Linked DNA regions of Oryctolagus cuniculus. The protein of the gene in region 2 purifies or fractionates together with the protein of the main gene of each other region. This does not show direct contact. Links are inferred from orthologs where the notes say so. Each region holds a gene or a part of one and is shown on either strand. Other genes may lie near its edges. The genes, in order: PDHB, DLD, OGDH, PDHA1, DLST and DLAT.

Region 1 (4,008 bases), on a different chromosome or scaffold from region 2:
TGAGTTTATAACCTGGTCAATGGCTTGCATAGAGAAATTGAAGGTCATAAATTCACAAATGGGCCGCAACCCAGCCTGTGAGATCAAAAACATGCATGTTAAAAGACAAGGAACAGCAGAGTGGGAGGCAGTATTTTTAAAACGTCATGTTAAATCTCTTTGGGTGAGCCTCACAGAGACTATTACGTACCATAGCTGCACCCACAGCAATTCCAGCAAAGCCCATCTATAAAGGAAAACACAAAGGAAGTGAACATCAGTAAGACTGAGGCGAGCGAGCACTAACGGACAAGCCCTGCAAGGCCGGCTTCCTGGTAGAAGGCTCACCTCGGAGATGGGAGTGTCTATGATCCTCTTGTCTCCGTATTTCTTCCACAGGCCTCGACTAACCTACAAGAGATGACCGCATTAACTTTCAAGTAGATCTCGGGGCAAATGGTGACCTCAGCGTGCGTCTTTCATATATTTTGGTTACCTTGTATGCCCCGTCATACTGGGCAACTTCTTCCCCAAGGAGAAATACCTTCTCATCTCTTTCCAGCTCCTCATCCATACCTTGGTTGATAGCATCACGAACTGTCACCTGTCGCAAATACAGGAAAGTAGTCAGTAAGCTACAGGATTATTTAGGACACCACTGAGTCTCTTCCTGTATACTCACCTAGGCTGCCCTAAGCCTGGGACATAAAAACACATTGGAACAGGCTTCTCTTTTAAAGTTCAAAGAATTCTAGAAGCAGCGTTTGTGTTATATATACTAGTCTTTGAGAAGTTTGCTGATGTGACAGGCTTTCCTTGATGAGCACCCAAGATTAAGAAAACTACCTACTGGCCAGGTCAGCTCACGGGCGGCTTTCCTGGGGGAAATGCAGGCTGGGTTGTTTTGTTAAGACCCCTGGAGTACTATCAAGGAAACCTAATTCATGCTAAATATTTTTTAAGATTTATTTATTTAGGGCCGGCGCCGCGGCTCACTAGGCTAATCCTCCGCCTTGCGGCGCCGGCACACCGGGTTCTAGTCCCGGTCGGGGCGCGGGAGTCTGTCCCGGTTGCCCCTCTTCCAGGCCAGCTCTCTGCTGTGGCCAGGGAGTGCAGTGGAGGATGGCTCAAGTGCTTGGGCCCTGCACCCCATGGGAGACCAGGATAAGCACCTGGCTCCTGCCATCGGATCAGCATGGTGCGCTGGCCGCATCGGCCATTGGAGGGTGAACCAACGGCAAAAGGAAGACCTTTCTCTCTGTTTCTCTCTCTCACTGTCCACTCTGCCTGTCAAAATATAAAAAATAAATAAATAAAAAGATTAAAAAAAAAAGATTTATTTATTTAAAAGGCAGAGCAACAGAGAGGGAAACAAGGAACCATCCGCTGGGTCACTCCCCAACTGTCCACAATAGCTACGTTTGGGCCAGGCTGAAGTGAGGAGCCAGGAACTTCATCTCGCTCTCCCACAAGAGTGGCTCAGGCCCAAGTACTTGGGGCCATCCTATGCTGCCTTTCCAGGTATACCGGCAGGAAGCAGAGCAGCCAGGACTCAAAACTAGCACTGCAACAGTGATGCTGGCGTCGCGGGTGGCAGCTTAATCCTCTGAGCCACGCGGGGATCCAACGCTAAGAACTGAGCACTCGTAGGTAGCAGGCACTGCCAGCCTGCATCTGGCTGTAGGAATTATTTTAACACACACCATGGCAGAATCCTCTAGTAAGGAAAACAGTGAGAGTGTGTGGGTGCAGAGGGGCGATTCCACTCCGGGGTTTATCCCAAAAGAACTCAAGGCAACGCACACGCTGTACGCAGCAACATTCACATCAGCCAAAACGCGCAAACAGCCCAGCCCTCGTGGTGGGATGAGTGGGTGAAGTGTGTGTATGTCCACACTCTGGACCAGATCCTGCAGCCTCACAAAGGAATCCGATTCTGACACAGCTCGGGCCTAGACGAACCGCGAAGGCAATAAGCTAAGTGAAATAAGCCAGACACGAAAGGCCAAGTGATTCCACTTATATGAAGTTCTAGAACAGGCAAACTCAGAAACAGAAAATACTGAGGTGACAGGGAACCAGGAGTTATGTAATGGACACAGAGTTTCTGTCCGGGATGAGAAAGTACTGGGAATGGGAAGCGGAGAGGGCTGCCCGACGCGGTGGGTGCACTTAACGTCCCTAATTTATACACTTTCAACAAAATTAAGCTATGTGCAATTCAGCACAATTTCTTAAGGGGCGATGGATCAGAGAGGAAGAAGCGTCAACTTCTTTTCTCCCAGTGCCCACATGGTCCCAGGCAGCCTGGCGGGAGTGACACGCCGGCGTCACGGGCGCCCGGCGGCGACACAGGCGGCTCCAGTCCCACGCGGGATGTGCGCGTCCGCAGACCGCAGGGCCCGAAGAGCCGCCCGGCCCCGGTCCGCTCCAGTTACCTGCAGCGCCGCCGGCGCGGTCCGGTGAAAGCGCCTCTTCAGCAGCCCGGATACCTGGCGGAGAAAGAGAAGGACGGTCAGAGGGGTGGCGGGGCGGGCAGGGGCCGCGCGGGCTCCCGGCGGCCCCGCGCCGCTGCCTACCTGCTGAAGGGGTCTCCGCACCAGCCCAGAGACCGCCGCCATCTTGACCGTGTCCTCTAGCCGCCGCCTAATGACAACACAGCGGAGCCGGCCGTGCGATAGGTCCCGCCTCCCCGCCTGCGCGGCCAATGGCAGGGCGCGGTGGCTGCGTGCCCCGCCCTCCGCTCTCCGTGAGGGTCGCACGGAGGTGGCGCGTGGAGCGGCGGGGCCCCTCCACCTGGGGCCGGCATGATGGAGAGCGCGCAGCCGCCGGCTCACCGAGTGCACGCGGGTCGCATGCCCCTGGCTGCTTGCAGCGCCGGGGCTGAGAGTGACTCAGGAGTGTGATCTTTTGGGGCTGGAGGGAGTTGTAGTTTTTTTTTGCAGGTTCATGAGTATTTTCATAGCGTACACTGATTTTTAAATATCATTTATTTCTTGCTAACATGAATTCAGAACAAGTCGAGTTTGATACCAGAGGAAATCAAGACACACTCGCCATCATGGAATGCTAATCTTCACAGAAGAGCATCTCCACGAGGTTGGCCTGGCGACACTCCGCGTCCACCAGTTTTTTAGGTGTTCCGTATTTCAGGAGCGTGGGCACCGAAGTCACGTTCAGTTTTTTCCTGAAGTCGTTATTTGGATCTCTCCAGTAAGGCTTGTCTCCTACTTGGCAGTAGATGAACACACATTCTTGGCTGGCACTCTTCAGGCCCTCACGAATGACAGGCTCAGCCTTCGTGCAGAGGGGACACCAGCTGTTCCCTTCCGTGTCCTTAGAACCCACAAACAAGGCGAAAATGCGCTTGCCCTCGTGCTGCTCCACAGCCTGGTTGAACTCCTCGAAGCCACACACGCACACCTCCTGGTAGGCAGCCATTGGGACCTTAAGAGGGAGGCCCCCAGGCTGCAGGTCCTGGAATCCTTGGGGGGCTCTCGGGTGTCGGTTCCTGAGAATGAAAACAATAGCTTTCACTGACTTAGTAAGCACCTACTGTATGCCAAACATTGTGCTAAGTGCTCCATTAAAGCTCATTTCCCACAGGAACCTGCTCAGGTGTTAACCCCAGTTTTCACAGATGGGTGAACTGCAGCAGAGATGGGCCAAAAAGCCGGGGTTTCGATTTAGGAACTGGAGACTCCACTTTCCCCATTGCTTCCGCCTGCAGAAGTTGGTGTCCTGCCTGGGAGGAGGTTCGGATAACCTGGGTTTAGAGAGGGCCTTGGGGGAGGTGCCCAGCACCTGACCATGACCATGGGGGCAGCCTCCAGATGTTCCCTAGTCTCAGTTTGGCCCTTGGGGTCTGATGGGACCAGTGGCTACACAGTCCTCATCCATGCGCTGTGGTGTGGGAGAGGCGAGGGGTCAGGTGCGGATTCAGCGTGGCTGAAAACCTAGCACACCCACTCCCCACCGTGCAGCTCAGCCTCCCTTTCCATCATGCCCCCGATGCCGTCACACCTTCGA
Region 2 (4,151 bases):
CTCAGCTATGGCCTGGGAAAGCAGTAGAAGATGGCCCAAGTCCTTGGGCCCCTGTACCTGCGTGGGAGACCTGGAAGAGGCTCTTGGCTCCTGGCTTCGGATTGGCCCAGCTCCAGCCATCGCGGCCATTTGGGGAGTAAACCAGAGCATGGAATACCCCCCCACCCCGCCTCTCTAATAAATAAATAAATCTTTTTTTTTTCTTTTTAAAAAGGCAGTATGGGTTACAGCTAGAGTCTCTATAACAGACACTTAATATCATTAATTTCTTCTCACCTAAAACTGAGCACTAATAGGCAGGGAGTAATGTATCCCAGTGTTCACACCCACAAAGCCCAGCATGGTGCCAGGTGGTAAGCCTTCAAGGAATGTGGAATGCAGTTCTACTCACATTAAAGACAGTTATCACAAAGCAAGAATCAGGTCTTCGATCTCCATGCTCCATCTCCGACACGCCTTTTCAACCCTTTTGCATCTATTACCTCTTATGAAAATCTTAAATCTCAACCACCATCTCACCATCAATTGTTCTACCTGGGAGGTGTTTCCCAAAGGAGGACACAGAGGGTAGAGTTCTGTGCATGTCCGCAGTCTGTTTACTTAGGGGAGGACACTGTTTATGTCAGTTTGTGGCCCATGCCTTATAAGCAGTGGTTAAGACCAAAGGGATTAGGGGCCTGCGCTGCCTGCGCCTTAGCCAATAAAGCGGCTGCCTGCAGCGCCGGCATCCCATACTTGACTTGGGTCAAGTCCCAAGTCCCGGCTGCTCCACTTCCGATCCAGCTCTCTGCTATGGCCTGGGAAAGCAGCAGAAGATGGTCCAAGTCCTTGGGCCCCTGTACCCGCATGGGAGACCCGGGGGGAAGCTCCTGGCTCCTGGTTTCCAATCAGGTTAGCTCTGGCCGTGGCAGCCATTTGGGGGAGTGAACCAGCGGCTGGAGGATCTCTCTCTCTCTCTGCCTAATAAATAAATACATCACAAACTTAAAAAAAGACCAAAGAGTTTAACCTCAGAGCTTTAGAGACTTCTTCTTTAAGCGATACTGAGGGTTTTGCTTAAGCTCTCAGGAAAACGGAGATAGACAATACTTCATAGAGGAGCGTAAGGATGAAGTGAGATAATGCCTGTGGCAAGCGCCAAGGAATGCCTAGTACATCAAAGAGCTTGTCAAGCTTGCCAACCTTTCCTTTGCTAGTCTGCATAAAATGATAAGTTTACTTGCCTATATCTTTCATATTCCAAGTTTAAGGCTACAGTGCAACCCTGCACATTTCCACAGCATCCCAAAATGCTCCGTCCCACCCCACGCCGCCACAAAGCACTAGGTTCTTTACGACAGTTTACGACGCCGAGCCTGACCCGAACGCCTTGTCCTCGCGGGCCAATCGCGCTGCTCCCCGGGGATGACGTAAGCCGCGCTTGTGCATGCGCAGGGTGGGGAGACCTTGGAAAAGCCGTGGACGCGCTTAGCGGAGGTGAAAGCATTGGAGGAAAGGAAAGTACCGGGGGAAAATGCAGAGCTGGAGTCGTGTGTACTGCTCCTTGGCCAAGGTGAGGACCTCCGAGGTGGGGTCGTGCTGAGCCGGAGGCACGGAGAGGCCTGAGTCCGGGAGCCGGGACGCGGCCTAACTGGTGCGAGTTCGAGAGGCTGGCGGCCTGACCCGGACCTCTTGTGCACCGGCTCCCGCCCGGCCTCGGTCCGGACGTGGCGGTTCCTTCCCTGGCAGCGGGAGCTGAGCAGCCGCGGAGGGGCCCTGCCTCGGCTGGCTGGTGGCGGCCAGCATTTCCCATAGCTGGGCCGAGGGGCGTACCCATAGGCCTCCGCCCGAGGAGAAGGGGTTAGCAGGGACCTGGCGCGTCCTGCTCTCGCCCTTTTCGTAAAGCTGACTCCGGAGTGGCCTGGTTGTCTGCAGTGGGCAGGTAACCTTGAGAGCACTGCTTGAATGGCCCGGATCTCCTCCCCCTCCCCCTCCCCCCCGGGGCTAGCCCCCAGCCCTGTACCATGTTACTTTTTTGCTACACATATCTCTGATATCGTTTAGTGTAGGAAATAGGCACAGTAAAGGATTACCGACAGTCACTAATAAAATAGAGCCATGACTGCTTTCAGTAACATAGGACTTGCCTGTGGCGCTGGGACAGGCGATCATCAGGCCTACCAAGTGAGAACGAATGAGCAGGTAGCATATTGAGGACGAAAGGGTGATTCCTGTCCCAGCTGGTGGGGTGGAATGGCGAAACTTATAACTGATGAACAGAGTTGGTTCCCGAACAACACAGGGATCCGGGTGCCAGGCTCTTGTGCAGTTGAAAAATCTGCGAGGTTTGACCCTCTCTCTCCCCCACCTCCAAACGTTAATAGGGTGCAAGTAAGTGAGTAACGTACAGTTTTTATGTGTTGCATGTTATGTACAGTGAAAAATAAGGGTTGCGAGAGAGAACTTGTCACTGTGATGTGCAGTTTACTGGAGAGAGGAGCTACTGAGGGAGAGACAGCATCACCTGGTGTTTTAAGGAGCTGCAACACTTGAGCTCAGTTGTCCCAGAAAGTGGGATTGTCTGTGCATATTCTGAGCGTTCATCATATAGCTTTTCCTTAATTTTTTTTTTTTATTTGAAAGGCAGAGTTAGAACGTGTGAGAGCTTCCATCTGTTGGTTCATCCCCAAAATGGTTGCAATGGCTGGGGTTGAGTCAGGAGCCGGGAAGGGAACTCCATCTGGTCTCCTACTTGGGTGGTAGGGTCCCACGTTCCTGGACCATCTTCCACTGCTTTTCCAGCCACATTAGCAGGAAGCTGGATCTGAAGCAGAGCAGCTGGGACTTGAACAGGTGCTCCGATGTGGGGTGCTGGCATTGCTGGTAGGAGCTTAGTACACTGAGCTGCCATGCTGGCCCCCTAATTGTTTGTTTGTTTGTTTATAAATATTTCTAGGCTACTCAGTTCATTAAGTTTTTCAAATAGTTGCCAGTCTCCCCCAAAAAGAGAAATTCATGTATAAGTGGTCCTGCACTGTTCAAATACATGTTGTTCAAGAGTCAGCTGTAGTTTATTTCTGGAGTTTTCCATGTAATAAGTGTACTGTTTTTGAGTTTAACTGTAGGTGGCTGAACTCTTGGATGGAGAGAGGAAACTAATGTATCCAATGAAATCCCTTTGTTTCAAAGATGAGGCATCTGTAGTCCCCAAGATAACTAACAGAGCATGCCAGAAGTCAAGCTTTAAGGGAGAGGCAGAGTGGGGCCTACAACTCAGGACTGCCGGTTGCTACACTGACCTCAGGAGCAAGAGTTGTCCTGGAGCAGAGAACTTACCACCTCCCTGTAGGTTTTGTCACTGTCTCCTGTGTGCCTGTTGTGATGGCAGCAGGAGCTGTTTGTTTTTTTGTGTGTCACTACTTTTGGGAAATGGTAGCCATCCATATTTCAAAATTGTGGCGATTTTGATAGAATTTGTAAAGCTGTAATATTACTTATTACTTACTGCATTTTCGTAAGATACCTTCTCCAGTTTTCTGTTCCTAGTTGATTGATCAGGAGTATCTTCATGAATTTTCCTATATGGACTGAACTATACGTACATGGTAGACTAGGAAGGATTGTCATCAAGTATATTATCCAGGTACTTAAATTAGAACTTTCAGAGTTTTATTTATGGAACTGACAATCAGTAATATTTTCTGAAAATTTAATAAAACTTAATATTGTTGGAATATGTTTTTATTATGTTAAATATGCAGTTATATTAAATAAGATGAGTATTCATAATGAAAGGTAAGTATGACTGAAAAGTGTAAACTGTTACTGCCAGAGAGGAGAGGCATTGCTGTGTAAGCTCTGTGTGATGGTGGAAGATACGTTAATAGGGTTGCTTGTTTGACTTAGTAGTTAACATGCTGATTGGGTGCCCGTATCCCATGTCAGAGTGTCTGGATTTGAGTCCTGGCTTCACTCCCAATTCTAGCTTCCTGTTAACGTGTACTATGGAGGCAACAAGTGATGCCTCGGGTGGTTGGTTCCCTGCATGAGAAACCTTAGAGTTCTCAGTCACAGCTGTTGCAGGCGTTTGGGTGCTCTGTTTCTCAAATAGATAATTTTTTAAAATAATCAGACATTTTAAAAAGATGTTAATAATCAATATTTGACACATT
Region 3 (3,500 bases), on a different chromosome or scaffold from region 2:
TACAGCCCCTCAGCCCCCAGGAGGCCACTGAGATGGGGTCTGCGGTGGGGGTGGCGGCCGCTGGCTCCCTCAGCGACACAGCAGTGCAAGGTCTGGCTCCACCCGGGGCCGGGTGTGGTCCCACAGAGGCTGTGCCTGCTCGCTTGCCAGCAGGCAGCCCAGGCAGACACCCCAGAGACGGACGTGTGGGCGCAGACAGAGCTCTGGAGCCCTGCACCCCAGGGCTGCGAGGAGCAGGCACACAGGAAGTAGGAGGTGCAGCGGGGTGTGTGCGGCAGGGCCGCTGTCCCCGTCCAGCGGTGTCATGCCCGACCCTCAGGAGGAGATCTCCAAGTACGACAAGATCTGCGAGGAAGCTTTCGCCAGGTCCAAGGACGAGAAGATCCTGCACATCAAGCACTGGCTCGACTCGCCCTGGCCTGGTGAGCAGAGGGCCCCGCGGAGACCCCTTAGTGCCCGCGAGGTGACCAGGAGGCCCCTCCCAGAGTCCAGCTCCTCCGGCGTGTGCCGCAGTCAGCAGCACCCCGCGCAGGTGTCGTCCCGACACGGTGCTACGGCGCCTCTGCCTGCCCTCCCTCGCAGGCTTCTTCACCCTGGACGGTCAGCCCCGGAGCATGTCCTGCCCCTCCACGGGCCTCACCGAGGACGTCCTCACGCACATTGGGAACGTGGCCAGCTCCGTGCCCGTGGAGAACTTCACCATCCACGGAGGTAAGTGCGTCGGGCTGGCCGGGGGGAACACTGGCCCTCTCTCGTCCTGCAGAGGCCCCGCGGCCCCTCCCACTGCTGCTGTCGGCAGAGCCCTGTGCTCACCGTGCCCTTCCACACCACTGGAAGCCCGGGGCTGCAGGGGCAGAAGGCCCTGGCCCCAGCAGAGTGGAGCAGCCACGCGGGCCAGGCCTGCAGCGCTGTGAGGGCTCTGTCTGCAGGGCTGAGCCGGATCCTGAAGACCCGCGGAGAGCTGGTGAAGAACCGCACCGTGGACTGGGCTCTGGCGGAGTACATGGCTTTCGGCTCGCTCCTGAAGGAGGGCATCCACATCCGGCTGAGCGGCCAGGACGTGGAGCGTGGCACCTTCAGGTAGCGTTGAGGCACACGGGATTCTGGGGAAACAGCCACGCGGCCCAGGCATTGCGGCTACTCTGCCCTCACCTCGTTTGCTGTGCCCCGCGTGCCGGGCGGTCGATCCCTCGAGCGTGCAGGGTCTCTGGATGTCCGTCCTGGCTGCGTGGGCTGTGGCAGCTGCACTCCAGGCTCACGGGTCCTCGTTCCGCCCCAGCCACCGCCACCATGTGCTCCATGACCAGAATGTGGACAAGAGAACCTGCATCCCCATGAACCACCTCTGGCCCAACCAGGCGCCCTACACCGTGTGCAACAGCTCGCTGTCCGAGTACGGCGTCCTGGGTGAGCCCCACCCACGCCCCCCCCCCCCCCCCCGGCCTGCAGCCCCGCCCCGCCCGCTGGCTGACGGCCAGGATGTGGCTCTCCCCCTCGTCCCTTACAGGCTTTGAGCTGGGCTTCGCCATGGCCAGCCCCAACGCCCTGGTGCTCTGGGAGGCCCAGTTTGGTGACTTCCACAACACGGCTCAGTGCATCATCGACCAGTTCATCTGCCCCGGGCAGGCCAAGTGGGTGCGGCAGAATGGCATCGTGCTGCTGCTGCCCCACGGCATGGAGGGCATGGTGAGCCCAGGTCGGGCACGGTCTTACACCACGTGCTGTGCCGGCGGGGGGTGGGGGGGGGATCGAGATTCATCGCCAGGAGGAAGAACCAGAAACAAGCGAGGTGGTCCAGGAGGGGAGCCGCGAGAGCTCCCAGGCCAACTCGGGGGTCTGTTCCAGGGGCCAGAGCACTCCTCTGCACGCCCAGAGCGGTTCCTGCAGATGTGCAACGATGACCCAGATGTCCTGCCGGTGAGTGAGCGGAGTCCGTCGGTCACCCTGAGCCGTCCTTCCCTGGCCTGGGGCTCAGGTCAGGCTGTGGCACAGCTTCGCCTGCTGGCCACACCCCGCTGCTGCTGAAACCACGGTGTGCCGTGTGGCCACCTCCACACAAGCTCCTGAACCAGGCCCGCGCAGATGTTGGAGGGAGAGAACTTCGGGGCATTCTACTGAGATTCCAAGACCTGAAAAGAACGGGTGGTCCGTTTCTAAGGAGGATTGGGGTTGGCTTTAGGGAGAACCGGTGTCTCCTAAAATAGCATGTTTTGTGCTGGGTGGAAGTTCACAGCAGTGGGAGGGATCCAGGGGGAAGCAGAGGGCAGGGCCCTGGGAGTGGCGCCCCTCGCTCCTAGACGCCCGCGTGAGGGGCTCAGCGCTCCTGCCCAGCCCCTGGCCGCTGCTCCCCACAGGACCTGCAGCAAGCCAACTTCGACATCAGCCAGCTGTACGACTGCAACTGGGTCGTCGTCAACTGCTCCACGCCCGGCAACTTCTTCCACGTTCTGCGGCGCCAGATCCTGCTGCCCTTTCGCAAGCCGGTCAGTGCGGGCCTGGCCTGGCCTGAGGATGACCTGTGACCCAGGGCGCTGACCCTGCAACGCCGGCACGGGGCCAGGCTTTTCCCAGGGCCTCTAGCTTGGGGCTGGCCAGTTGTTGCCTGGAAGGGGTGCATGGACAGGATGGAGTCAGAGCTGGGTCCCTCTTGGCGTTGCTCCCAGGGAAGGGCAGGCTGTGAGGTCCAGCCCAGCAGGGCGAGGGTGGTCATGGGAGCAGCTGGGGTTGGGGGGGTGCTGAGTACTGGAAGACAGAAACCCGCAGGGGCCCAGGGCTTGCAAGGAGCTGCGTGTTGGAGAGTAGGTAGGCGCCGGGTCGGGGTACGAGCAGAAGGAGGGGAGTGTATTCCCAGCAGCCAGCCCGTGAGCCGGCGGGGCAGGGCGGTCCTGGGGTTGGACCTTGTCACGCCCTCTGGCAGGCCGACGGTGTGTTTGCTGTGACTGCCAGAGGCTCGGGCTCTTCCTGGGTGCGGGGTGGGGCCAGGGCCTCAGCAGCTGGGAGCTGGGTGTCTGCCCCCGCTGAGGGAGGCTCCGCCCAGCACTGGGCGTTGTCTGCTGGGACCCAGGGTCCAGCTTGGGTGGCCTTGGCTTCCGACCAGCTTCTGGGACTTGGAGAGCATCGTGGGCCTGTTGTCTTCCAGCTGATCATCTTCACGCCCAAGTCCCTGCTGCGCCACCCTGAGGCCAGGACCAGCTTTGACGAGATGCTTCCAGGTGGGTGGGTGGGGTTGGGGGTTCCCTGCTGCTGCTCTGTGGGGCTCGCAGGACTTCACGTTTGACTTTTCCTGGCCGTGGGCAGAGGCTGCTGGCTCTCGCCTGTGAGTGCCCCCAGGACTGCGTAGAGGCTCTTGAGAGCCAGCGGCTCCTGTGACTCCTCCCCCGCACCCCGGCTCCTGCAAGGAGCGCTGGCTGTGCCGGTGCGGAGTGAGGCCCGGGCCTGAGGCCTCCGGGTGGCTGTGGGGAACAGGTGCTGGCAGCCGTGGCCACTTGAACGTGCCCAGG
Region 4 (3,500 bases), on a different chromosome or scaffold from region 2:
AGGGATTAAATCATAGTTTAAGTTGAAGTATGATAGAGTAAACTCTTAGCTTGTTCAAATGAACAGTATCCAGTTATGATTTAAGAATAGCATAAATCAGCCGGCGCCGCGGCTCAATAGGCTAATCCTCCGCCTAGCGGCACTGGCACCCCGGGTTCTAGTCCCAGGCGGGTTCTAGTCCCAGTCGGGGCGCCGGATTCTGTCCCGGTTGCCCCTCTTCCAGGCCAGCTCTCTGCTGTGGCCAGGGAGTGCAGTGGAGGATGGCCCAGGTGCTTGGGCCCTGCACCCCCAGGATAAGTACCTGGCTCCTGCCATTGGATCAGCACGGTGCGCCGGCCACAGCACGCTGGCCGTGGCGGCCATTGGAGGGTGAATCAACGGCAAAGGAAGACCTTTCTCTCTCACTGTCCACTCTGCCTGTCCCCCCCCCAAAAAAAAAGCATACATCTCAGATTATCTAGGCTCTTCAGTATAGCCATTAATTTCATTATGTTCTCATAATTTCTTTTTAAAACACACATATTTATTTGAATCTTCCATTTGCTGGTTCACTCCCCCAGATGCCCATAACAGCCGGGACTGGACCAGGAACTCCATCCAGTGGTTGGCAGGGGCCAAGTACTTGGGCCATCTTCTGCTTTCCCAGGCACATTACGGGGAAGCTGGATTGGAAACAGAGTAGCTGGGACTCACACCACATTCCTATGTGGGATGCCAGTGTTGCAAGCAGACACTTAATCTCATGTGCCACAACACCAGCCTGTCTCATGAATTCTTGGAAAACAAAGTGGTAAAGTGAACAGGTTTGGTTTTTGCCACCTTTCTTTCTGCCTTCAGATAGCGGTGGGATTGTGCTTTATTGGCCAGAGTGTGGCTTCATTTTGGAAGGTGAGGAAGATGACCAACATCGTGAACAGAATGGAAGAGAGAGAAGCCCATGAATATGCTGGGGTTTATTAAAGTTCCATGAGTACATCATCACTGAGTAGTAATTCTGACTATCCAAGATGGCTGACAAAACATAATGATGTGTTTGTGTGTTTTCTTTCTTTCAAGGCAAGCAGAGTGCTGGTGGCATCCCGTAATTTTGCAAATGATGCTACCTTCGAAATTAAGGTGAGAGGTGCTTTTACGTTGTGTTCAGAATTTTTCAAAAGGTACACACTGATGTCCAGTTTTTATAACTTTTATATTTAGAATAGACCTTTTGATACTCTTCATTTTCTACCAGATGTTTCATAAGTTAGAGTTGTTTACCAAAAGTTAAGAGTTTGTTATTCTTGGCATGTTGCTGATATGGGTGAGGCCGGGGGGGGGGGGGTTAAAAGGAAGAAAAACTTACTCCAAAGTTTAGAGTGAAACACTTGAACATGAACATTCCTAAATGTTCCTTTGAAAGCTTCACCCCATAGCTCAGTTGACTTCTAGGGGTTTTCAGTGAAAGTCTACTAAGAACAACTTCCCTCCCCCTGAAGCCCTATCCATCCCCTTGCACAGAGAGGCGTACAGAGCGAAGGAATCAGGAGCAGTAAGGAAGCATTTCTGATGCGCTCCTTGGCGGTCTCCCGCGTTTGATAGCACTAGCGATGGAGTGAGGTCTCAGAATGAGTCAGCAGCGTTAGCTACGTGGTAACCCGAGGATGACTGCCTGCCTTAACTCTGTTTCAGAAATGTGACCTTCACCGGCTGGAAGAGGGCCCTCCTGTCACGACAGTGCTCACCAGGGAGGATGGGCTCAAGTATTACAGGATGATGCAGACTGTGCGCCGAATGGAGTTAAAGGCAGATCAGCTGTATAAGCAGAAGATTATTCGTGGTTTCTGTCACTTGTGTGATGGTCAGGTGAGTGTAGGTTTGTACTAAAACTGTCTCATTTAGGTAGGTAAGTATGATTCTCGTTTGTTGATGTTACCTTGTCGTATGTGTTAAGTACCTGAGGTTCATATTTTTAGAATAAAATTAGAATGCCAACACCTTTTATTCATTTATAACATTGCTAATTTCCTGTACCTGTTCTTAGAATTTTACTGTTTTAAAATTTTCGGACATTTCAATTCCTGTATTGTACTCACTTTTGAAAGGGTTATTTGGTTTTGTTTTGGTAGGTTTAGGCCAAGGGTTACAAAATCAGGTGCATGTCGACATCACTTCCAGGTTGTTGTTTTTTTTTTAAATCGCTGTGCAGGCTAAAGGAAATTGCACGTCTGGCTGCCAGTTTACAGCTGCTTGTTGAGCCTTCCATGCCACTGTGGTGTTGGATGAAAAATAGCCACTTTGTGGTATCAATGCCAAGTTCTAGCATACATGTTTCATATCAGTCTGGGAAACCTCTTTATCCAGAATCAGAGCCTCACGTTCTTTTCCTCCTTTAACGCAGGAAGCTTGCTGTGTGGGCCTGGAGGCCGGCATAAATCCCACGGACCACCTCATCACAGCCTATCGGGCTCACGGCTTTACCTTCACTCGGGGCCTTTCTGTCCGCGAGATTCTCGCAGAGCTCACAGGTTTGCTCTCGATTCACAGAAAGGGGACGGGAGCGGGTTCAGTGTTCAAACGTCTGCCCTTAAGATGCTAGCTGTTAGGAGCGAGTTTAGAAACACTCCTTTCTCAGGTGCTACTCTGGTACCTCTGTTGTGCCTTGGAGTGCACTGACCGTTCTGGGAAGTCCTTCAGCTTCTCGGGGAAAAGTTCCAGAGGTTAGTGCTGTGACGGCAGAACACGTGTAGTCACTCAAGCATGCCAGCAGATATCTAGCAACAATGGGCTTGAACCCAGCGTGATGTGCAGTGTAGTCTCGGCATCTTCCCAACACTCCCTCTTTGTCCCTCACAACTCTTGAATTGTTAAGTTTACCAGTGCAGAAGTCAGTAGATGCTTGTCACCCTGAAAAAAAGTCCAGGACACCAGACTAGCATGGAAAGGTGGTTAAGTGATTAGAGATCAGGAAAGATGGAGAGCTTCCTTCTAATGGATATGGAGAGGGGCCGGCGCTGTGGCGTAGCAGGTAAAGCCGCCACCGCCTGCAGTGCCGGCATCCCGTATGGGCGCTGGTTTGAGTCCCGGCTGCTCCACTTCCGATCCAGCTCTCTGCTGTGGCCCGGGAAAGCAATAGAACATGGCCCAAGTCCTTGGGCCCCTGCACCCATGTAGGAGACATGGAAGAAGCTCCTGGCTTTGGACTGGCGCAGCTCCAGCTGTTGCAGCCAGTTGGGAAGTGAACCAGCGGATGGAAGACCTCTCTCTCTCTACCTCTCCTTCTAACTCTTTCAAATAAACAAATCTTTAAAAAAAAGATTTTAAAAATAAAGGCTATGGAGACAAGGGGGAACACATTTGCCAAGAGAGACAGGTACCCAGATAGCTGAATTGGTGTCTGAGTTCTAACGATTGGGACTCGGAGTGAGAACTTGGGGTGTGGCTTGCTTCATGCAGGTGCGTACTGTGATTGCAGGGCGAAGAGGAGGTTGTGCGAAGGGGAAAGGAGGATCGATGCACATGTA
Region 5 (4,239 bases), on a different chromosome or scaffold from region 2:
AATAATCCAGGTGAGGGAGACCGAGGATTGGTCACAGCGGCAGCGGGGCACGGATTTTTCCCTGCAGGGTGGACAGTGAGAGAGAGAGACAAGACAGAGAGAAAGGTCTTCCTTTGCTGTTGGTTCACCCTCCAATGGCCGCCGCGGCAGGCGCGCTGCGGCCGGCGCACCGCGCTGATCCGATGGCAGGAGCCAGGTGCTTTTCCTGGTCTCCCATGGGGTGCAGGGCCCAAGCACTTGGGCCATCCTCCACTGCACTCCCGGGCCACAGCAGAGAGCTGGCCTGGAAGAGGGGCAACCGGGACAGAATCCGGCGCCCCGACCGGGACTAGAACCTGGTGTGCCGGTGCCGCAAGGTGGAGGATTAGCCTAGTGAGCCTCGGCGCCGGCTTTCCCTGTGTCTTAAAATCTGAGCTTGAATCATCGCCCGCTGCCTCCCGGGGGGGTCCTTGAGAGAGGAAGCAGAATTTGAACCAGGCACTCTGACACGAGACGTGGGCATGCAAGGCAGGACGTGAGCACCGCGGCCGATGCCTGCCCTTTCTTCTCCCGATTTCTGGTTGCATTCTCCGCCCCCCACCCCCAGTGGTACTTTCAGCACCTGGAGAGTCCTGACCAGGTAAGCTGCTTCAGGTGAAGACACCAGAAGGCACAGGCACAGACCACTCGGTCACACTTCATCAATTACCAGTTCAGCCGCAGGTTTATAAACCGCCGTCTCTATCAGGCAGGTGATGATCCATAACATTCAGGGGCCTGGGGACCTAAGGGGCGGCCACGTGGTTTCACTTAGGGAGCAGCAGAGCAGTGTGCTGACGGCAGGGAGGCCCGGATTCCGCCCACAAACTCTGCGCACCTGAGCTGTGCTGGGGTGCAGCAGCGAACAAGACCGAGTTTAAACTCCAGGTGATAGGAGTTCACGTTCTCAGGGCGGGGCCAATTTCCAAAAATGTGCGGCATGTACAGGAAACAGTTTGGAAGGAGAGCTTGAGGGTGTGTGTGTGTGTGTGAGGGAGAGAGAGGGAGAAGCCTGATGCTCTGAGAGGCAGTGACACCTGCCCAAGGCCACACAGGTGTAAGATCAGGCAGCCACGTATGCCAGGATCCGAGTTCAAAGCCCGTGCCTGCTTTTTGCTCTCTCTTCGTGGGGCAGGGGGCAGAATGGCTAGGTACCCCGGGGTCTCAGACAGAAGAGGGCCAAATTCCGAGCCAGCTCCGGGGAATGGCCAGGGAACGCTCGACCCCGGGGGCCCTGCGGTCGCCGACAGTCGTAGGCACCCTCGAGAGGGCTGTCTCGGGCAGGCAAGCAGGCAGCTCAGTGGCCACCACAGCCTGCTCTGGAACGCCGGACCCCGCGCCGCCCAGCCGCCCCCACCACCCTCGCCAATGGTTCGCTCCGAACACCCCTCGCAGCGTGGCGGGTGCTGCGGCCCGCCCCACTTCCGGTTGTTGCCGGGCCCTATATCCGGTGTCCGCCCGCCCTCAGCGCTGCTGTCGCGATGCTGTCCCGGTCCCGCTGCGTGTCCCGGGCGTTCAGCCGCTCGCTCTCCGCCCTCCAGAAGGTATGGTCCGGCCGGGCCGGAGCCTCGGCGGGTGAGCAACCTGCTGATGGACAGACGGGCGGCCGGGAAGGCGGGGGCGCAGCGCGCCTGCCAGGCCCGGCACCAAGGGCACTGGGACGCAGAGGCCGCGGGCTGGCCGGCCCGGGACCGCCTCGCCCTCGGGGCTGTGTTTCGAGGCCTGCGGGGCAGGCCTTCCCGAGGCACCCGCACCGACCGTCACCTGCTGCCCCCCGCCCCGCGCGCCGGGGCTGGGGAGCCGCTCCCGTCCCGACATCGGACGGCCTCTGCTGGACACTCGGGGGCCCGTCCCGTCCCTTCTGTTGAAGCCCGGGGGTGTCAGTCAGTCCCGTGGGGAAGTTGGGACGGTCGGGCGGACGCGGTGTGCCGGCGGGGTCCGCGCCCGTCGCGGCTGTCCGTGGAGTTGGGAGATTGCCCGTCCCCAGCGCCGGGGCAGCTTTGCGTGCGCGCTTCGCAGGAGGAGCGGTTTCTCCCCTCGTTTCACCTCGGGTGACGTCGATGATGTCTTCTTTCTCAACAGGGGAACTGCCCTCTAGGGAGACGCTCCCTGCCTGGTAAGTTCTGCGCCGGCCGTCGCCTGACCCGCTCTCCTCCCGGGGCAGAGCGGCGTGTACGGCCACAGGCAGCCCAGTTGCCGCCTGTACCCGCAGCGTCACGGAGTGTTTGCTGTGCGCCAGGCCCCTGCCAGCCCCTCGCCCAGGACCCAGCAGCCCGCAGGCCAGTGGGAAAGGCCAGATGTGCACGCACTACCCATCAGATGAGCAGGCGCGAATTTTGGTTCGCGGGGTTGGGGTGGGGAGGACAGGGGCGCCTGCTCCGAGTAGGTGACATCGAGTCTGCATCCTGGAGGATGTAGCCGGGGAGAGCAGGAGGCAGAGAGGGAGTAGCTTGTCCAGTCCCCGGGTAAGGAAGGAGGCTGGCAGTGCTTGGGAGCTGGAGGAGAAGGGGGTTCGGCCAGGCATTTTGGTTAAGGGGGAGAGTGCCGTGAGATAGCAGACGGAGTCTGCATTGTTGGAAGGAGTTTAGTTTTTTATCCCTTTTTTTCTTATTTTTTGGGGGAGATTATTAGTAGTTTATCTTATATAACTTATCTTTAAAATTAGGTGCCTTGTATATTTGTTGGATGAGTTAGTTTTATTGTAGGCTTTCATTGTACCAGATATTCTCACTGCGATCTGTGCGTATTTTAGTTCATCATCACAAACCTGAATGAGAAGTATTATCTCTATAAATGCATAACCCAAGGCAAGAAAGGGTAAGTGCTTTGGCCAAGGTCACTCAGCCAACTACTGGTCAAGCCAGGCCTACCTGACTCCCCAGCTTGAACTCTTACTTTTTTTTTTTTTTAAAGATTTATTTATTTGGAAGGCAGAGTTAGAGAGGGAGAGATAGAAAGAGATCTTCCATCTGCTGGTTCACTCTCCAATAGCCACAGCTGCGCCAGGCCAGAGCCAGGAACTTCACCTGGGTCTCCCACGTGGGTGCAGGGACCCAAGCACCTGGGCCATCTTCCACTGCTTTCCCAGGTGCATTAGCAGGGAGGTGGATCTGAAGTGGAACACCTGGGACTTGAACTCGTGCCCTTATGGGATGCCAGTGCTGCAGGCAGCTGCTTAACACTGACTCCTCAGCCTAAACTTTTTTTTTTTTTTTTTTAAGATTTTATTTATTAGAGAGCTAGAGTTATAGACAGAGGGAGAGACAGAGAGAAAGGGTGTCCATCCACTGGTTCACTCTCCAAGTGGCCGTGATGACCAGAGCTGGGCTGATCTGAAGCCAGGAGTCTGGAGCTTCTTCCAGGTCTCCCACGTGGGTGCAGCACCCAAGCACTTGGGCTGTCCTCTGCTGCTTTCCCAGGCACATTAGCAGGGAACTGGATTGGAAGTGGAGCAGCTGGGCTCAAACTGGCACTCATATGGGCGCCTGCTGGCACTGCAGGCCATGACTTAACCCACTGTACTACAGTACTGACTCCTAGCCTGAACTCTTAATCCATTATGTTCTCATTTACTCATGTACTCAATAAATGGTTTGAGTGCTACTACAGTGCCAGCCCCTGTGCCTGGTGACAAGGAAACAGCAGATGGTCTCCACATTCGAAGATCTTAGGCTGGCTGGAGAGAGCGTGAGCAGATGTTTGTGCACACGTAAGGACATGATTGCATTGTGGGTACTCAGAAGTCCAGCTTGATGAGACAGGGGATGATGCAGTCCAGCTTGGGAGAGTAGGGAATGCTGATAAAGGCTTCCCTGAAGAAGTGACATTGAAGCTGAGACTTGAATACGTAGAAATTAGCCAGGTAAATGATATTTCAGGCAAAGGGAATTGCTCTGTCGAGGTTTTTAGGCAGGCTGGGAATTGCCCTATTAGGGGAATGGAAAGAAGCCTACCTGGCTGCAAAGTTAGGTAGGACTGGATGGTACAGGACTGTGCAAAGTGTTTGGACTTTATCCTGAGTCCTGAGAATGTGAGACACCAGCACTGTGTCAGTTCCTAGCAGGCGCTCAGTGATGAACTTTCTCTACTAGGAATCCCGAGAAATGTCAGTAAACATTCTCCTCTTTATAGACTGGCAGGACAAGGGGGGGACCCTTGCACGTGGGGTTGCATCTTGGCTGGGCATTCACCCGGGGTAGTCAGTCAATCCCCGGAAGCCCT
Region 6 (3,500 bases), on a different chromosome or scaffold from region 2:
AGCAAAAGTTTGTAGGTAGGAGCCAGTGCTGTGGCATAGTAGGTTAAGCCTCTGCCTGCAGCGCTGGCATCCCATATGGGTACCAGTTCGTGTCCCAGCTGCTCCCTTTCTGATCCAGCTCTCTGCTAATGTGCATGGGAAAGCAGTGGAAGATGGCCCAAGTGCTTGGGCCCCTGCAGCCCTATGGGAGACCCAGAAGAAACTTCTGCCTCCTGGCTTTGTATTGGCCCAGCTCTGGCCATTGGTGGCCATTTGGGGAGTGAACCAGTAGATGGAAAACCTCTCTCCCTGTCTCTTCCTCTAACTGTAACTCTGTCCCTCAAATAACTAAATCTTAAAAAAAAAAAAAAAATTGGTAGGCATTCTCAGGGAAAGAACCTTAAGAGACAGGGTTTAAAGTTGTGATCCCTTCAGAGTGTTTTTGTAGCAAACCCTTAGGAGCTTGTACTTCAGGATTACAGGTTGATCTTGGGGAACCAGCAGTATGTCATCGTATATGTGGTATTTATGTATCTCTTCCAGGGACAGGACCAGATGGCAGAATCATCAAGAAAGACATTGACTCTTTTGTGCCTACTAAAGCTGCTCCTGTGAGTTACAGCTTACTCATGTATTTTTTGTTTGTTTATTTTATAGTTTGTCCCTTCAAAGTACTTTGTCCTGCTTCTTAGACATTATTTATGAATTAAGTAGCTTATCCAGAATCATGCTTTCTTCTACTTTCAGTGACTTCAGTATCTAGATATTTGTGTGCTAAAATGTTCATACAAAATTAAAGGTGATGTATTACACTGACATGAAATCCAAAATATATTTTGAGTAGAGATACTGAAAATTTTTTTCAGTTATTTATTTCAAAGGCAGAGTTACAAAGAGAGGGAGACATACACACACACACACACACAGAATCTTCGATCTGCTGGTTTACTCCCCAGTTGGCTACAATGCCTGGGGCTGGGCCAGACTGAAGCCAGGAAACTGGAACTCCATCTGGTTTCCCCTATGGGTGCAGGGGCCTAAGCACTTGGGCCACCCTCTGCTGCTTTCTCAGGTGCCTTAGCAGGAGCTGCATTGGAAGTAGAGCAGCTGGGACTCAAACCAACACCCATGTAGGATGCCAGTGTTGGAGGTAGTGTTTAACCCACTGCACCACAACACTGGCCCCAAGATACTGGAATTTTTCAGATACATTTTCTCCTCATTTGGTCCTTGTTTTCAAAACACATTTGCGAGTTGATTTATAAGGTTTGTGTGGTTAGTCCATTCAGAGATCAAATCCGTATATCCAACTCATTTTTGATTTGTAAGGTGTCAAGAGAATCAGTAGGAGTAAGGAAAATGATGTATTTCTTTAGGTGTTTGCTTTATAATGAAAGATTTGTCCTTGTTTTTTCTTAACATTTTTTGGGTAATGGATTAGCTGGTTTATGTGTTTCTTAATTCTTTCAGTTTTACAATGCCTTGACTCCTTTTCTTGAAGATAATTTTGTAATAACAAAGTTATTTTGACATAGATTAATTACTGAATATACTGAGTCAAAGAATGACACTTAAAACATGATTTTAGAATTCTCAGTAAAAAACATTTAAGCTCTATAGCAGTCTAAATACAAGTTTCTTTTGTTCTCTGTAGTTAGAAAATAGCTTTTATTCTATAAAACTTTTATTCTTTTTACTTTGCATCTATAAAAATCACTGACAAAGTCAAGTGTTTGGTATGGCAGTTAAGCTGCTAGGTTGGGACACCTGCATCCCATATCAGAGTGCCTGGCTTTGAGTTCTGGCTCTTTTCCTGATCCCAACTTCTTGCTCATGTGCACCCTGCGATGCAGACAGTGATGGCCCACAAGTAGTTGGATTCCTGCTACCCACATGGGAGATCTGATTTGGGTTCTTGGCTATCAGACCATTGCAGGTATTTGGGAAGTGAACCAGAAGATGGGATCCGTTTCCCTACCTCAAATAAGTTTTAAAAAAGGAAAAGAAAAAAGAGTCACTGTCAGGCTTTCCTAATCTTACATTAAGATTGAGCTAGTTTCTAAGAGCTTTTTAATTTTTTTTAAAGATTTATTTTATTTATTTGAAATACAGAGTTACAGAGAGAGAAAGAGAGGTAGAGACAGAGAGACAGAGAGAGGTCTTTCATCTGCTGTTTCACTCCCCAAATGGCCGCAATGACCTGGGCTGAGCCTATACGAAGCCAGGAGCCAGGAGCTTCTTCCAGGTCTCCTACATGGGTGCAGGGGCCCAAGGATGTGGGCCATCCTCTGCTGCTTTCCCAAGTGGATTAGCAGGGAGCTAGATCAGAAGTGGAGCAGCCAGGACCCGAACTGGCACCCCTATGGGTTGCTGGCATTGCAGACTGGGGCTTAAACCACTGTGCCACAGTCCTGGCCCTGAGCTTTTTCTTTTTAATTGACACATAGTGATTGTATGTATAATGGGGAACAACATAATATTTCAATGCATGTATACAATGTCTAATGATCAGATCGGGATAATTGTCATATCACTTCAGGCACTTATCATTTCTTTGTGTTGGGAACATTTAAAATCCTTTCCACTAGCTATTTTGAAATAGACAGCTATTTCAATCAAAATTATCCTATTGTGCTGTAGAACATTAAAAGTGAATCCTCCTATCCAACTGCATCTCTATAACTAAGTTTTTTCTTTCCCCACATAGGCTCCAGCAGCTGCTGTTCCTCCCCCTAGTCCAGGAGTGGCACCAGTTCCTACAGGTGTTTTCACAGATATACCAATAAGCAACATTCGGCGAGTAAGAGCATTACCATGATCTGGAACCAAAGCTACTGGGGAGATCTTTACTCTGCTGTCTAACTGCTTCCATAGTTTAAAATAATAAGAGAGGCTTTTTCAGTTGGGAATATCAGATGATTAATTTAAGAGAAGTTTGGCTTGGCTCAGTGAATGATTGGGATAAAGCATTGTGTTTTAAGTCTATTAGAAAAGAGGTATGTGATGGTGCAGTTCTCCATCTTCCAATTCTAGTAATGCTTAAGGTAAGCATTACTGGCGAGCAGAATGAAGAGGCAAACAGAGCCATGGATTAGGTAAGATCTTGTCTCAACCTAAATAAGTAATTTTTAAATTTTCTTTGGTTTCAGGTTATTGCACAGCGGTTAATGCAATCAAAGCAAACCATACCTCATTATTACCTTTCTATTGATGTAAATATGGGAGAAGTTTTGTTAGTACGGAAAGAACTTAATAAGGTAAAAGACCTGGAAAATTCCAATTCTCTAAATTATTAATTTTGTTTTTTCTCACTAAACATTTACATTTTAGCCATATATTATCCTGTTACAGAATGCCAGTTGGTAATGGAAAATAGGTGTCATCTTAATTGTAATTTGCAGAGAGTATCCTGGAGAATATCTAAGCTTTGATTGACCTTAATTTTTAAAAAATATTTATTTGTTTGTTTGAAAGAGTTCAAGAGACAGAGGTCTTCCATGCTTTGGTTCACTCCCCCAGAT

Evidence for each region.
Region 1: the proteins of DLD (region 2) and PDHB purify together in Homo sapiens (affinity purification with mass spectrometry; 3 studies listed by BioGRID and IntAct, counting the BioPlex papers as one, with this or other methods). This does not show direct contact. The link is inferred for Oryctolagus cuniculus from reciprocal best matches to the Homo sapiens genes DLD and PDHB.
Region 3: the proteins of DLD (region 2) and OGDH purify together in Homo sapiens (affinity purification with mass spectrometry; 3 studies listed by BioGRID and IntAct, counting the BioPlex papers as one, with this or other methods). This does not show direct contact. The link is inferred for Oryctolagus cuniculus from reciprocal best matches to the Homo sapiens genes DLD and OGDH.
Region 4: the proteins of DLD (region 2) and PDHA1 purify together in Homo sapiens (affinity purification with mass spectrometry; 4 studies listed by BioGRID and IntAct, counting the BioPlex papers as one, with this or other methods). This does not show direct contact. The link is inferred for Oryctolagus cuniculus from reciprocal best matches to the Homo sapiens genes DLD and PDHA1.
Region 5: the proteins of DLD (region 2) and DLST purify together in Homo sapiens (affinity purification with mass spectrometry; 3 studies listed by BioGRID and IntAct, counting the BioPlex papers as one, with this or other methods). This does not show direct contact. The link is inferred for Oryctolagus cuniculus from reciprocal best matches to the Homo sapiens genes DLD and DLST.
Region 6: the proteins of DLD (region 2) and DLAT purify together in Homo sapiens (affinity purification with mass spectrometry; 4 studies listed by BioGRID and IntAct, counting the BioPlex papers as one, with this or other methods). This does not show direct contact. The link is inferred for Oryctolagus cuniculus from reciprocal best matches to the Homo sapiens genes DLD and DLAT.

The regions. Positions count from the first base shown.
Region 1 is NC_091441.1:91,554,820-91,558,827, reverse strand, and holds the start of PDHB (pyruvate dehydrogenase E1 component subunit beta, mitochondrial), read right to left. Parts: upstream 2,801-4,008; 5' UTR 2,601-2,800; coding exon 2,559-2,600; intron 2,472-2,558; coding exon 2,418-2,471; intron 584-2,417; coding exon 476-583; intron 391-475; coding exon 328-390; intron 227-327; coding exon 191-226; intron 76-190; coding exon 1-75. Other genes in the region: thioredoxin domain-containing protein 17, read right to left, coding at 3,049-3,420. UniProt on the Homo sapiens protein: The pyruvate dehydrogenase complex catalyzes the overall conversion of pyruvate to acetyl-CoA and CO(2), and thereby links the glycolytic pathway to the tricarboxylic cycle.
Region 2 is NC_091434.1:136,290,127-136,294,277, reverse strand, and holds the start of DLD (dihydrolipoyl dehydrogenase, mitochondrial), read left to right. Parts: upstream 1-1,351; 5' UTR 1,352-1,513; coding exon 1,514-1,552; intron 1,553-4,151. UniProt on the Homo sapiens protein: Lipoamide dehydrogenase is a component of the glycine cleavage system as well as an E3 component of three alpha-ketoacid dehydrogenase complexes (pyruvate-, alpha-ketoglutarate-, and branched-chain amino acid-dehydrogenase complex).
Region 3 is NC_091447.1:52,009,501-52,013,000, forward strand, and holds part of OGDH (2-oxoglutarate dehydrogenase complex component E1), read left to right. Parts: intron 1-319; coding exon 320-422; intron 423-582; coding exon 583-711; intron 712-929; coding exon 930-1,080; intron 1,081-1,279; coding exon 1,280-1,407; intron 1,408-1,507; coding exon 1,508-1,686; intron 1,687-1,845; coding exon 1,846-1,917; intron 1,918-2,354; coding exon 2,355-2,483; intron 2,484-3,139; coding exon 3,140-3,212; intron 3,213-3,500. UniProt on the Homo sapiens protein: 2-oxoglutarate dehydrogenase (E1o) component of the 2-oxoglutarate dehydrogenase complex (OGDHC). Participates in the first step, rate limiting for the overall conversion of 2-oxoglutarate to succinyl-CoA and CO(2) catalyzed by the whole OGDHC.
Region 4 is NC_091453.1:5,384,437-5,387,936, forward strand, and holds part of PDHA1 (pyruvate dehydrogenase E1 component subunit alpha, somatic form, mitochondrial), read left to right. Parts: intron 1-1,056; coding exon 1,057-1,116; intron 1,117-1,668; coding exon 1,669-1,842; intron 1,843-2,377; coding exon 2,378-2,504; intron 2,505-3,451; coding exon 3,452-3,500. UniProt on the Homo sapiens protein: The pyruvate dehydrogenase complex catalyzes the overall conversion of pyruvate to acetyl-CoA and CO(2), and thereby links the glycolytic pathway to the tricarboxylic cycle.
Region 5 is NC_091451.1:20,942,923-20,947,161, forward strand, and holds the start of DLST (dihydrolipoyllysine-residue succinyltransferase component of 2-oxoglutarate dehydrogenase complex, mitochondrial), read left to right. Parts: upstream 1-1,439; 5' UTR 1,440-1,499; coding exon 1,500-1,562; intron 1,563-2,100; coding exon 2,101-2,134; intron 2,135-3,046; exon of another isoform or gene 3,047-4,239. UniProt on the Homo sapiens protein: Dihydrolipoamide succinyltransferase (E2) component of the 2-oxoglutarate dehydrogenase complex. The 2-oxoglutarate dehydrogenase complex catalyzes the overall conversion of 2-oxoglutarate to succinyl-CoA and CO(2).
Region 6 is NC_091432.1:103,992,602-103,996,101, forward strand, and holds part of DLAT (dihydrolipoyllysine-residue acetyltransferase component of pyruvate dehydrogenase complex, mitochondrial), read left to right. Parts: intron 1-522; coding exon 523-590; intron 591-2,686; coding exon 2,687-2,779; intron 2,780-3,128; coding exon 3,129-3,236; intron 3,237-3,500.